Caenorhabditis elegans: one gene and its partner. The protein of the gene in region 2 purifies or fractionates together with the protein of the main gene of each other region. This does not show direct contact. Each region holds a gene or a part of one and is shown on either strand. Other genes may lie near its edges. The genes, in order: zyg-1 and sas-6.

Evidence for each region.
Region 1: the proteins of sas-6 (region 2) and zyg-1 purify together in Caenorhabditis elegans (affinity purification with western blotting, with the first as the bait; one study listed by BioGRID). This does not show direct contact.

The regions. Positions count from the first base shown.
Region 1 is NC_003280.10:5,647,865-5,655,222, reverse strand, and holds zyg-1 (putative serine/threonine-protein kinase zyg-1), read right to left. Parts: upstream 5,476-7,358; 5' UTR 5,450-5,475; coding exon 5,417-5,449; intron 5,362-5,416; coding exon 5,269-5,361; intron 5,188-5,268; coding exon 4,372-5,187; intron 4,289-4,371; coding exon 3,921-4,288; intron 3,830-3,920; exon of another isoform or gene 3,785-3,829; coding exon of another isoform or gene 2,920-3,784; intron 2,873-2,919; coding exon of another isoform or gene 2,802-2,872; exon of another isoform or gene 2,789-2,801; intron 1,899-2,788; coding exon 1,524-1,898; intron 1,480-1,523; coding exon 1,251-1,479; intron 1,203-1,250; coding exon 996-1,202; 3' UTR 801-995; downstream 1-800. Other genes in the region: F59E12.1 (Bromo domain-containing protein), read right to left, coding at 30-487, 553-708; bli-2 (Nematode cuticle collagen N-terminal domain-containing protein), read left to right, coding at 2,802-2,872, 2,920-3,784; F59E12.17 (Anaphase-promoting complex subunit 13), read left to right, coding at 5,782-5,865, 5,939-6,094; sam-4 (BLOC-1-related complex subunit 5), read left to right, coding at 6,149-6,441, 6,488-6,695, 6,814-7,035; ddl-1 (WASH complex subunit homolog 3), read left to right, coding at 7,349-7,358. UniProt on the Caenorhabditis elegans protein: Protein kinase that plays a central role in centrosome duplication, control of centrosome size, spindle formation and nuclear envelope breakdown during cell divisions.
Region 2 is NC_003282.8:13,786,310-13,790,406, forward strand, and holds sas-6 (Spindle assembly abnormal protein 6), read right to left. Parts: upstream 2,423-4,097; 5' UTR 2,401-2,422; coding exon 2,318-2,400; intron 2,273-2,317; coding exon 1,922-2,272; intron 1,869-1,921; coding exon 968-1,868; intron 838-967; coding exon 694-837; 3' UTR 636-693; downstream 1-635. Other genes in the region: icap-1 (Integrin Cytoplasmic domain-Associated Protein homolog), read right to left, coding at 289-414, 475-519; Y45F10D.7 (Small-subunit processome Utp21 domain-containing protein), read left to right, coding at 2,799-2,861, 2,909-3,072, 3,118-3,606, 3,666-3,816. UniProt on the Caenorhabditis elegans protein: Central scaffolding component of the centrioles ensuring their 9-fold symmetry. Required for centrosome biogenesis and duplication.

The DNA of each region.
Region 1 (7,358 bases), on a different chromosome or scaffold from region 2:
ATTTTGACAGATAAAATCCTGAAACTCACGCAGGCGTTGAATGTGTTGGAGTGAGAAACCCTCGAGACCCAGTTGTAACATCATCACCGGGAGGCTTGGTTGGAGGAAGAACAAGAGTTTCCAGATTCAAAGATCCTTCAGCTTCTAATCTGCCTGCGATAGCCGAGTCCAATGAACCAACTGTTCTTTTATAGGTCCCATCATTTCTGTGGCGTTCAGCACTTTGCTTCGCCATTTGCAAAATTTCCTGGAGTCTTGATTCGGAAATATCAGGTTTCAAAGCTTCTTGCATCAACTTTACATTATTTCTAACAGTAACCAAACCAAGTTCTGCCTGGGAGCTTCTTTGTTTGCGAACTTCTGTATTAAAGTGTTCAACCCATTTTTCCATCATAATCTTTCGACTGTAGACGAAAGTATTGGAAATACCAAGTCGAAGATTTGGTGTTGGAAGGCTCATGATACGTTCCAGCTCCTCGCGGCAAGACTGAAAAAAGAATTGCTTAGAGTGCATCGAAATTAGATGAGAAATTATTTGAAAAAAAGACTTACATTTTCAGTGAAGTATCCTGGGGGATAGTTATCCTTTGCATAAATATCTCTCATCGCTAACAATCGTTTGTCCCATTGCTGATGTGCTTGGCATACGGTCATCAGATTGAGTCGATCAACATCCTGCCAATGGCTTCTACCGAATCGGTAGGCCATCTAAAGATAATTAGCTTGAAAAAATTAGAAAAAGAGAGCATAGATAAAATAACTGGATGACGACCAGCTGTTTTTTTGAATAATTATAAACTAAAAGTGTATATTTTATGCAATCGAAAAAAAAGAAAAAGGTGAAAAGGGAAGTGAAGAAGAAAAATAAAGAGAATCATTAGAATGACTGAAGATCATTTGAAACTTGAATGTGTAGGATTAACAGAAAGATATGTGGTAAAATGTAGGAGCACATGAAGTAAGAGGAAAACTCATCGTATACTAAGTTATTACTATTATTGATGTAGTTTTCTCATACGTTCGCACAGCGTATGAAGCATTTCTGAAGCTCTGTCAGGTACTCGATCAGTTCGCATAAATCGTTGATCATCAGGACGAATCGCCGGATCTGTGAAAATGAATTGATCCGCTTTACTTGTGGAACATCGTAGCACACGACCGTCTGTTGCTTGAATTGATCGAACTTTTTGAGTTGTAGGGTCCTTCAAATAATACATTTATGCTTTACGGCTCTCAGATTGAAAACTTACAATTTTTATTTTATACTTTGATGGAGCCACACTAGGTGACGAATTTTCATCAGTTGATACCCTTCTCTGAACATTAGCCGATGATGCTCGTTGAGATGAAGTTGGTTTCGTAAGAAAAGGAGCCGAATGGGGAACTAATGATGGCTGATTGTTCGATAAATTACTAAATGGAAATCGGGAAGTTTGAGAAGATCCTGATGGCATTAATGAAGACGGCGAACTGCCAACCCTAAAATAAAGTTAGAGGGTCTTTGCCAAAAAATTCAAACTTACATATTAGTTCCTGCACTGAAAACAATGGGAAAGCACACCATTCCTCGATCCATTCCGTTAAGACATTGCTCGAATCTTATTAGATATTTATATACTTCATTCACTTTTGTAAGTGTTATTCCAGAAACTGCCTGTTTTTGGGTCGCGATTCCATCGATGCAATTGAAAATTTCACCATTATCCATTTTACGAACAATTACTGATCTCGGAAGTTTGATACGGAGATCTCCATTCTCCATAAGTTGAGCTTGAGCATCTGGGAATTGTGATGGACGTCGAAATGTTACTTTTGCTACTCGACCACTTATCGTCACAGCAACCATCTTTTGGAGACGCATATAATCGTTTTGGACTTCTTTTGGCATTTGGGAATATCTGAAAAAAGTTGTTATTGGTGATTTTTGAATTATTATGTATTTAAAGGTCAATTTTCCATTTTTCGATGTTTTTTCAGTGAAAATCTAAAAATGAAATAAATAGTTTATTTTTCTGTTTAGATGTAATTGTTGTTTATTCGAAGAAAAATCTTGTGACAAATGAAATATAATTGTTCAGCACATTATCCAATTTATTCATCAATCTCCTACAAGGTATCATATTCTCCTTTACTCTCATAATCTCAATTTTTTTGAAGAGAGATACATTTAGCTGCCAACACATCGCCATCCTCCCCATAAAGAGACACATTTTACAACCCAATGACCTACATACATATTCAATTATTAGCTCAATTAAGAAGGTATCAACACGTACGATACACGTACTGCTGTACTTTTATGATTATCCTTCCCTGTGGGAACCCTTTTTGAATAGATATTCAAAACCCCTACAACTTTCTATTCGCATTTATATTCTGAAAATGAATGATGGAGAAAAAGGTTCAAAAGAAAACATTATCATTTTTTGTAGGTTTTTTTTTTCAAAAATCAAAAAATTTTAGTTTCTCGATTTTCTGAAAAATCGAAAAACCGACACCCTTGCTCGGTACCTTTCCGATTTTTAATTCTCAAAAAAACACGAGATACGGGAGAAAGTGAAACAAGCTTAACGGAACGATAGATAAGATCTTGAATGATAAGATTTCGGCGGACCGAAAAAAAAACAACAGCAGTGGCTATTAAGGTGACGAGAAGCTATTGCGGATGAAAAAGTGCCCTATTTTGGAGAACTGAAGGCTTATTTCAGAAAAAGAAAAAAATATCGGAGATAAGCGAATAATATGTATAAAAGGGGTTCCGTCAGAAAGTAGAAGACATCTTCTCCTTTTAATTAGGAATTATGGACGAGAAGGAACTGAATCATGAAGCTTCTATGCTTCGAAAGGTTGCATTTCTCGGGATTTGCATCAGGTAATTGTTATATTTTTGTTATATTTTTAAAATTAATATAATTTCAGCACAGTATCAACTTTAACTTGTATTATCGCTATTCCTCTACTCTACAACTACATGCAACATGTTCAAACCAATTTGCACAGCGAAATTGATTTCTGTCGTCATAGAACAGTTGGATTGTTCATTCAATACGAAAGAATGCAATCCGCATCAGGAATCAAAGGAAGAAGAATTATTGTAAAGAAACAAGCTGGCTACGATTTCGCTGAATCGAATACAAATGCCGAGTCCGGATTCAGTAGCAGCAAATCCTCTTTGGCTCCAGGAGGACAATGCTGTTCTTGCAAAACCGGACCATCTGGACCACCAGGACCACCAGGAGAAGATGGACGGGATGGTAGAGATGGAAAACCAGGACTTAATGGAGAAGACGGTACAGATGCAAAGGATTCAGCTCCACGACGTGATGCAGCTGCACCATGTTACGATTGCCCTGTAGGGCCACCAGGACCACCAGGAAATATTGGATCAAAGGGACAACCAGGAAGAAACGGGAAAGATGGTCTTCCAGGAGTTCCAGGACTACCAGGTCAGCCAGGAGAACCAGGAGATGATGGAGAGCCTGGAGAGGATGGAGACCCAGGTCAGCCGGGAGATAACGGAGAGCCAGGAAAATGTGATGAAGTGAACGTTGCTCAAGGGCCTCCAGGAAGTCCGGGACCTCCAGGATTACCAGGACCTGACGGGCTGCCTGGAACTCCAGGAAATCCAGGACAAGACGGTGAACAAGGACCAGCAGGTGAGCCTGGAAGAGACGGGAAAGATGGTCAACCAGGAAGACCCGGACAGCCAGGACCACCGGGAGAACCAGGAACCGGAGGAGGATGTGAACACTGTCCAACACCGAGAACTGCTCCAGGATATTAAATTGTTCATTGTTATAATTATTGGCGGAATGAACGTTTTTAAAATAATTTCAGCTAAAAATTTAGAAAAGAAGACAAAATATGGTGTTACTAGTTTCTACAAACGTTTCCGTTTTTTAATAGAATAATTAACTTACGAAGTATAAACAAAAGGATTGTTCGTCAACGTAATCAATTCTTCTTCTCCATTTCTTCCGCGTACTGTTCTATCAGGTATTCGATGTACATAAACCGTTTGAACCATTTCATCAACTTCGACAATCAAAATTCGTTTAACGAAATTCCCTTGAGCTGCAACTTCAAACCGACAACGAGTATCCAATTCAACAATATATCGTCCTCCAGCAGTACAAACTCTTTGTCCTTCTAACCTATCCATTCGGATCGGCCACAACTGTGAACGGTTTCGATCTTCACGGCTTGGAGGTACGGTACCGCGGCCACTGTCTCTATCCCGTTCTCTTCCTCTCTCAGAATCAAATCCTCTTGAAGATGTAGAAGGCATCTAAAAATAAATTGTAATATATTTTTAATGCATTTAATTGTCAAAAATAAAATAAAATTTTTGTGATCTGCTGGAACACTTACCCTGTCATGAATTGGTCGATTGCTCAGCGGTGCTCTGCCAGAATGTGCAGGTTGACTCGAAGACCTTATCAGAGCTCTGCCATCTCGAGATCGATCATCTCTTGAGGATCTTACTGGTTCCCTCGATCTCTGTCGTCGTCCATCCCGCGAGTGTTCTCTCGAGAAGATTACCGCATTTTCATTCGTATTCTCGTACATGAACTCTGATAAAACTATCTGCGTTAACGGAATACGCTTCTTTGCATCTGTATCCATCATTTGTTCCACTAATCTAGCAGCATTTGGTGACATTCCGCAGGTTGGTGGTAGTCCTTTAGGTGGGGGATTACGAGCAGTGAGCATAGTATAGAGAACTGCACCAAGAGAATATACATCGGCAGACTGGGTATATTCTTGATCGTATACTTGTGGAGCAATGAATCCTGGTGTTCCGACAATTGTACATGTGGTCTCACCACGCCCAAGAGTGGTCGCGAGGCCAAAATCGCCAAGTTTAACCGTCATTTTCTTCTTTTTCGAGTCTTTGATGAACACATTACCAGCCGAGAGGTCTCGGTGAATAACATTCACCCTGTGCATAAAAGATACAGCAGAAATCAGCTGTCGTAAAACATGAACTGCTGTTGCGTCGTCCAGAGCTCCGTGCTCCCGCACATAAGCTTGAAGAGATCCTCCTTCGCACAACTCCATGACTATGTATGTATAACCATCTTCAACGAAATCTTCGTAAAACTCGACCACATATTTGCTTTTCTTCAATTCCTTCATCGTTTGAATTTCCGTCCAAACACGATTTTTTGGCACCTTTTTATCGATCTGAAAATACAATTTTTGTAAAGAAAAAAAGTAGAAAAATTGTCCCATTCGAATATCTTTAGAAAACAGCATGAAACTTACCCTCTTAATCGCCACCTTCTCTCCATTTTCTCTTTGTGCTGCATATACAACGCCGAATCCACCTTTCCCGATTTCTTTTAAATGTGAATAGGCCTGAAGAAAATATAGATTCTTACATGGTATCGGCAAAAATAGTAGAAATACCTACACTCAATCTTGAACCACTCTTCCCACCGCTCATCTCATAGTTGATCAACACTTGGTGCGCTAAAAATAAGATGAAAAAACACAAAAAATAGGAAAAATAAATTTGGAGTTTGAAAAATCCGTTTTGGCGGCCGAGGGACTAGAATTCATATTTCGGTCGTCTGTCAGTAGAGCGCAACTGTTCAGTTATCGGTTTTCTCTGCGTCTCTCGTTTCGTAATGTGTTCAAACTCAACGCGCTCTCCAGGTCTGCACAATTTTTCTTTTTATTCCTTTTTGGAGTTTTCCATTTATTTTAAACGTTTCCGATTAAAAATACATAAAATTATTGATTACAGGATAAGGAAACTTCGGAGAAAGCCATCGTATGTCGTTCGTCCCATCAGAAGTTCGACTTGATCACACATTTTTAGAGTGGGACAAAGAGTGGATATTCCAGCGTCTGCCAAAGGTTTGTGACAAGCTTTTCGAATAATTAAAGTGTAAAACCCGTAAGTATTGAAATTAAAATTATTCATTTTTAGACCGAGATTCAAATTCCGCGCGAGTTTGAGCCAGATATCGAAACCGACGCAATTCCCACCATTGCTCGTCAGCCCGCCGACCCAAACACTACCTGGAACGAGACTGGTTTGGATCAAATTCAAATGGGACCAACCATCAATAGTACAAAAAATTAAATCAAGGTTTGTGAAAGTTGATGTAATTTTTTAACTTCTTACACAAATTTTCAGATGGGAAACGAACAAAGCTCGTCAACAGCGGGCACATCATCTAATCCTCAAAATCAACAGTCGTCTTTTTCATTTCTCACTCGAGCCAGTACTAAACGATCAAAAGGCATTATCACGGTCAAAGATGGCAATATTCCTCAAGAAAAACTCGAAGATGATGAAATTTACAAAAGATTCACCGAAATTCCCCGTTTTTTGCCGGTGATTCCAGCCGTAATAGGCAAACGAGATCCACAAACGAATCAAGGAGCTTCTTACACTCATCAAAAAATCAGTTCGCGGCCCTTTTTTCGGTAAGATTTATTCCTTTTATTCAAAGTTTTAAAGTCACATATTCAGACTAGCAACACGATTACAAGAACATTTTGCCGTTAATGCGAAAGCAGTGGCAGCAGATCAAGCTAAAATTCCAGCAACTTGCAAGAGTGTTGAAGCGAAAATGATCAGACTTATTGAAGAAACAAGAGCTCATAAAGAACAACATGACGGTTTTATGGCTGCATTGAGCGGACTTAATCAATTGCACGATGACATCTGTAGTATTCAGGTGCGAATTAGAAAAAGAAACAATATTTAATGCATCATACCAAAATTGATTTTTAAAATGTTGCACCTTACATTTTTGCTCAAAAAACTTGCTCCGTTTATCAAAAATTAATTTTCAGATAATTCTTGAAGATATTGTGCCAATGGTTGAAACGCTTAATGAAATTCTAACTCCCGACGAACGTCTTCCTCCTCTTAATCTTGGCTCAGTGCTCGACAGATCTCCCGTTCCAAGCAGTGATAGCTCACTTCAAAGTACGCCCCGCCATAATCAAAATATTGGTCATATTGATCAAATTGAGCCGATTGAAGAAATCCGCGTAGTTGATCTACCAAAATAATTAATTTGTAAATTTTTATTCTCTTCTTGAATCTGTTGCCCTATCGCCCTTCCCAAAAAGTCTTGAAGGCTTTATCTCACTTTCTTCTCGCAATATCAAAATTCCATTGCCGTTTTGTGATTTTTTATTTAGTTCATGCACATATTTATCCGTCAATCCTATTTTGATTTCTAAATTTATCATAAATTCTAGTATTTTTCGCAAATTAATCTAATTAATTTACTTTGAATCTAACTTATATGGTTTGTGCCTTTTTCATATTTCCATTTCTTGTAATTAATTGCATCATTAATTAATTTTTAGATCACCAGCAATGAATGCGA
Region 2 (4,097 bases):
TTTGGGTCTCATCGCGACAAATTTTTGTTAACTATAAAAAAAATGGTGTGCGCCTTTAAAGACTACTGTAATTTGAAACTTTGTGAGTTTTCACTGATTTTCCAACGATTAATAACTGTTTTCTTGTAAAATATATTTTTTTATCGAAAAACAAAACAAAAAGAAAATCGATACAACAACAAGAATTACACGTTACAGTATTTACTCTTTAAAGGCACACAACCCTTTGCAAATAACTGTGTCGTGTCGAGACCGACAAAAATTCTGCGTTTGTGTAATATTCCCAACCTCCTCATGAGAATCCCCGTTGTTTTTCGGTAATTTCCCTAAAAGTTGGCTATTTTCCAAGTGCTCAACAATTTTTTCCTCGAGAGATCGACTGCAAGACGTTCCATTTTGAATTAGAGAATTTATCTGGAAAATTAAATGTTTTTTTTCTGAAGAAAACCTAGTAAACTTTAAAAAATTCCTTACCTCTTGAACTGCCACGTATAATGCTGAAATTTTCGGGTCTGTCATTTTTTTTTTTGAAAAATGTTCAAGCGAGTTTCTGGCGTCATAATGTTTGCGGAGGACTCCCAACTGATAAAAACCTTCCCCATTTGAAGTGCTGGCGGTGGCCTAGAAATCTCAATGAAATAAGCAGAGTTTTATTTTCAAGTAAAGGACAAGAAAAAATCAATAAAAAAGATTTTATCGTTGAGCGGGTGGGGTGTTCGTCACACTTGAACCAGTAGTCTCGTCGGCGATTAGTTGACTGTTGAAACGAAAAGCATGAGGAGTTGCAATTGTCGAATTTTGGAAATTAAGAGTTGTATTGTCACGGAATGGGGTGCGCTGAAATTTGAACAAATTAAAATATTTTTTTGAGTTGAAACAGTTCGGAAAAATGCTCAAAAATTGTGTGAAAATTGGAAATTGCCGGAAAAATCGATAATGTAGCTCATTTCGTAGAACTTCTACTAACCGAGTTCAAATTAGCTCCATATGGAGTGTGGGGTCCAAGAACAGGCTTGAATGATGGTGTAAGCCTATTTGTTAGTCCGGTCTGAAGCCCGGGAAGCCCAGAAGGAGCTGGACTAAACCGTTGGGCTCGGTAATGGGCAATTTTTTCTTTAAGATTCTCATTCTCCATGCTCAGCTTCTCAAAACTATCCATATTCTCGGCGGCCTTTAATTTCTCGTTCTCCAGCTCCTTCCTCAAGATTCCAATAGTTTCAGTGAGACTCTCAACCATCGAATCTTTTTCCTTCAAATCAGCTTCCAGCTCTCCTAGTTTTCTCATATCCAGACTTTGTTGATTCTGTTGTTGGGAGTTTCGCTTCAACAGCTGATCGGCCTTCTCCAGGTTCCGTTGAGCCGTGCCAAGTTCTGCTCGAAGCTTCCCAATTTCTTTCTGATGAGCCACATTTCGTTTCTGAAGCTGATCCACTTTTCCTTGTTCTTCTCTCAACATATTTCCAACAATCTCCAGCTCCTCCTGATTTTCTTCCAATTGCTTTTGCAGCGACTCCGTGTCTTGTTTCAAATCAGCCACTTCATCTTCTTTATCCTCAACTAATAATCGAATATTCTCTCTTTCCTCTTTCACCAGCTCCACCTCATCTTCCAGCTCTTTAAACTTTTCTGACATTTCTTCGAATTCCTCCTTCACACCAGACAGTTTTTCAACTTGTTTTTCCAAATCTCCACATTTCTGCCGTAGGCTTGCTAGCTCATCTGCAGATTTATAAAAAGTGGAGAGTTTCACTGCTTGACTGGAACAAATTTTCAGAAGATGTGAAATTAAATGATCTCCGCGGACTGCGTGAAGCTTGATGGAAAAGATTTTTCCTTTCGAAATAGGAGTCTTCGAGAATAGCTCAAATCTGGAAGAAAATAAAAAATTAAATTTCAATATTAGGTAATCTATTTCCCTTACGAGCAAAAATTCTTCTCGGCATCCAAAATAATATTGATTTCCGTCGGCTTTCCTGGATCAGCAATACTATGATAACCTGCTTTTTTCCGTGCATCAACCTCCCCATCTTCTTCCAAATTTTTCACAATATTTTTACATAACAAGTGTTGAATGATAACTTTCGGAAAAGCATCGAAATCCACTGTTAAATCGTGATCTCGAGCCAAAATCTGATATTTCTCGTTGTTCAACGTTTCCGAGAATAGAAATTCAAAATCATCGGAGCGGCTGATTTCGAATTTTAGCTCCTTTTCTCCACTGGTTTCGTTCCTTTGCTCTGATATTTTCAGCTTAACTTTTGTTTTGTATGCCCTGAAATTCTGTTACTTTTGAAAATCGTTTGCTCCCTTTTCTTACTTAAAATCCGGTTGATTTAGGCTCAACGGCTGTAGAAGTGAGGCGATGAGTGTTTGATCGAATAATGCAATTTTGCTAGTCATTTTTGTGGGAGAAAATCTGAAAAAAATTATGTTAAAAATAGGAAAAAACAGCAGAAAATGAAGAATAAAAAATTTGCGCAAAAACAATAAATTTGAGATGGCGCGCTCTATGGGACTACGGTGTGCGATTGCGGACTTGGCAATTGCGGACAAAACATTGTAAACTACGCCTAACAAAAAATCGCATTTTCTTTTTTTTTTCACAAACTAAAATTCCCCATTTCAGCCCATTTTCCGTCAAATTTTCACATTTTTGAAGATTTAATAAGGGAAAATAGAGAGTTTCCCGCATTTTCAATCATTTCTACAATCCTACGTCGTTTTTTTCTTGTGTGAGCCACTTATCCCGTTTTTTAACAATTTATCTCATTTTTCAGCTTTTTCAGCTTTTCCAGCAAATGAAGCGCATCCAGTCGGAGCTCTTTGCTCCTTATCGATTCTTGGGTGTGGTAACCGGTGATGTAAGCTTTTTTTCCGAATCTGAAGTGAAATTACTTATTTTTTCCAGGTCGCCCCGTCAATTCGTTCAACATTTGTCGCAAAAAAGTCGGCATTGTCAGTTTTGTGCCCAATTGATAATGTAATCATGCAATACAATGGAAAAAAGCTTCGTGCGATTGGAATGTCGGAACCTTTAAGCGATAAAGTGTCAGCAGTCGCGTCTTCTAGCACGTAAGCGGTTTAGAAAAATGCAAAAATAATTATATATCATTTCAGGAGCGTGTTCGCTGCTCACGGAACCAACATTACTTCTCTAGCATTCTGCAGAGATATCAAAGATTCCATCGACTTGGGCGCCAAGATCAAAATCATGACATTAATCGGAACTCAGCTGATCGCAGTTGATATTTCTTCTGGAATCCACGTCATTGATACATCAGAAGGAGGCCTTCAAATGAGCCTATTGATGGAAGGATCCGACGATTTTGAAATAACGGCAATCTGTCACCCATCCACGTATTTGAATAAAATCGTGGTCGGCAGTAGCACTGGTCGAATGAAAATTATCAATTTCCGAACTGGAAAAGTGATTCATGAGTTCCAGCGAAGTTTCGACTCGAGAATCACAATTATCGAGCAAACTACTGCCTTAGATGTGGTAGTTGTAGGGCTGGAAAATGGTGAAGTGATGCTTTTCAATGTGAAAATGGATAAGATCATCACATCGTTCCGACATGACGCAAAGATCACTAATGTCGCTTTTCGGTGGGTTGTGTTTTAAATTGAAAAATATTATTTAAAAAAATTATTTCCAATATTTTCAGTGACGACGGCGAATCAACAATGGTAACTGCCGATAAGAACGGAACAATGGCTGTGTGGGATCTCGAGAAGCAGGAATTAATCGGAAAAATCACGGGAATTCACTCTGACGAGATTAATTGTCTCTATTTTGTTCCAGGGGAGCCTATCATGGTAATTTCCTGTTAAAGGTGGAGTGCGCCCAGTGGGAAAATTGCTTCAAAACACGCCTATGGGGTCACAATGACCGAATATCATGATAAAAAATTCAAAAAATTTTTCCTGATTTTATATGATTTTTTGAAATTTGAAAAAATCTCAGTTTTCTCCTAATTCCTATTTGAATTTCCGCCAATTGGAATCGTTCGATGGAGCGCACTTGCCTTATTTTTATCAATTTATTTTATTTTTTCTCATTATTTCACTGATTTTCTCCATTATTTGTGTATATATTT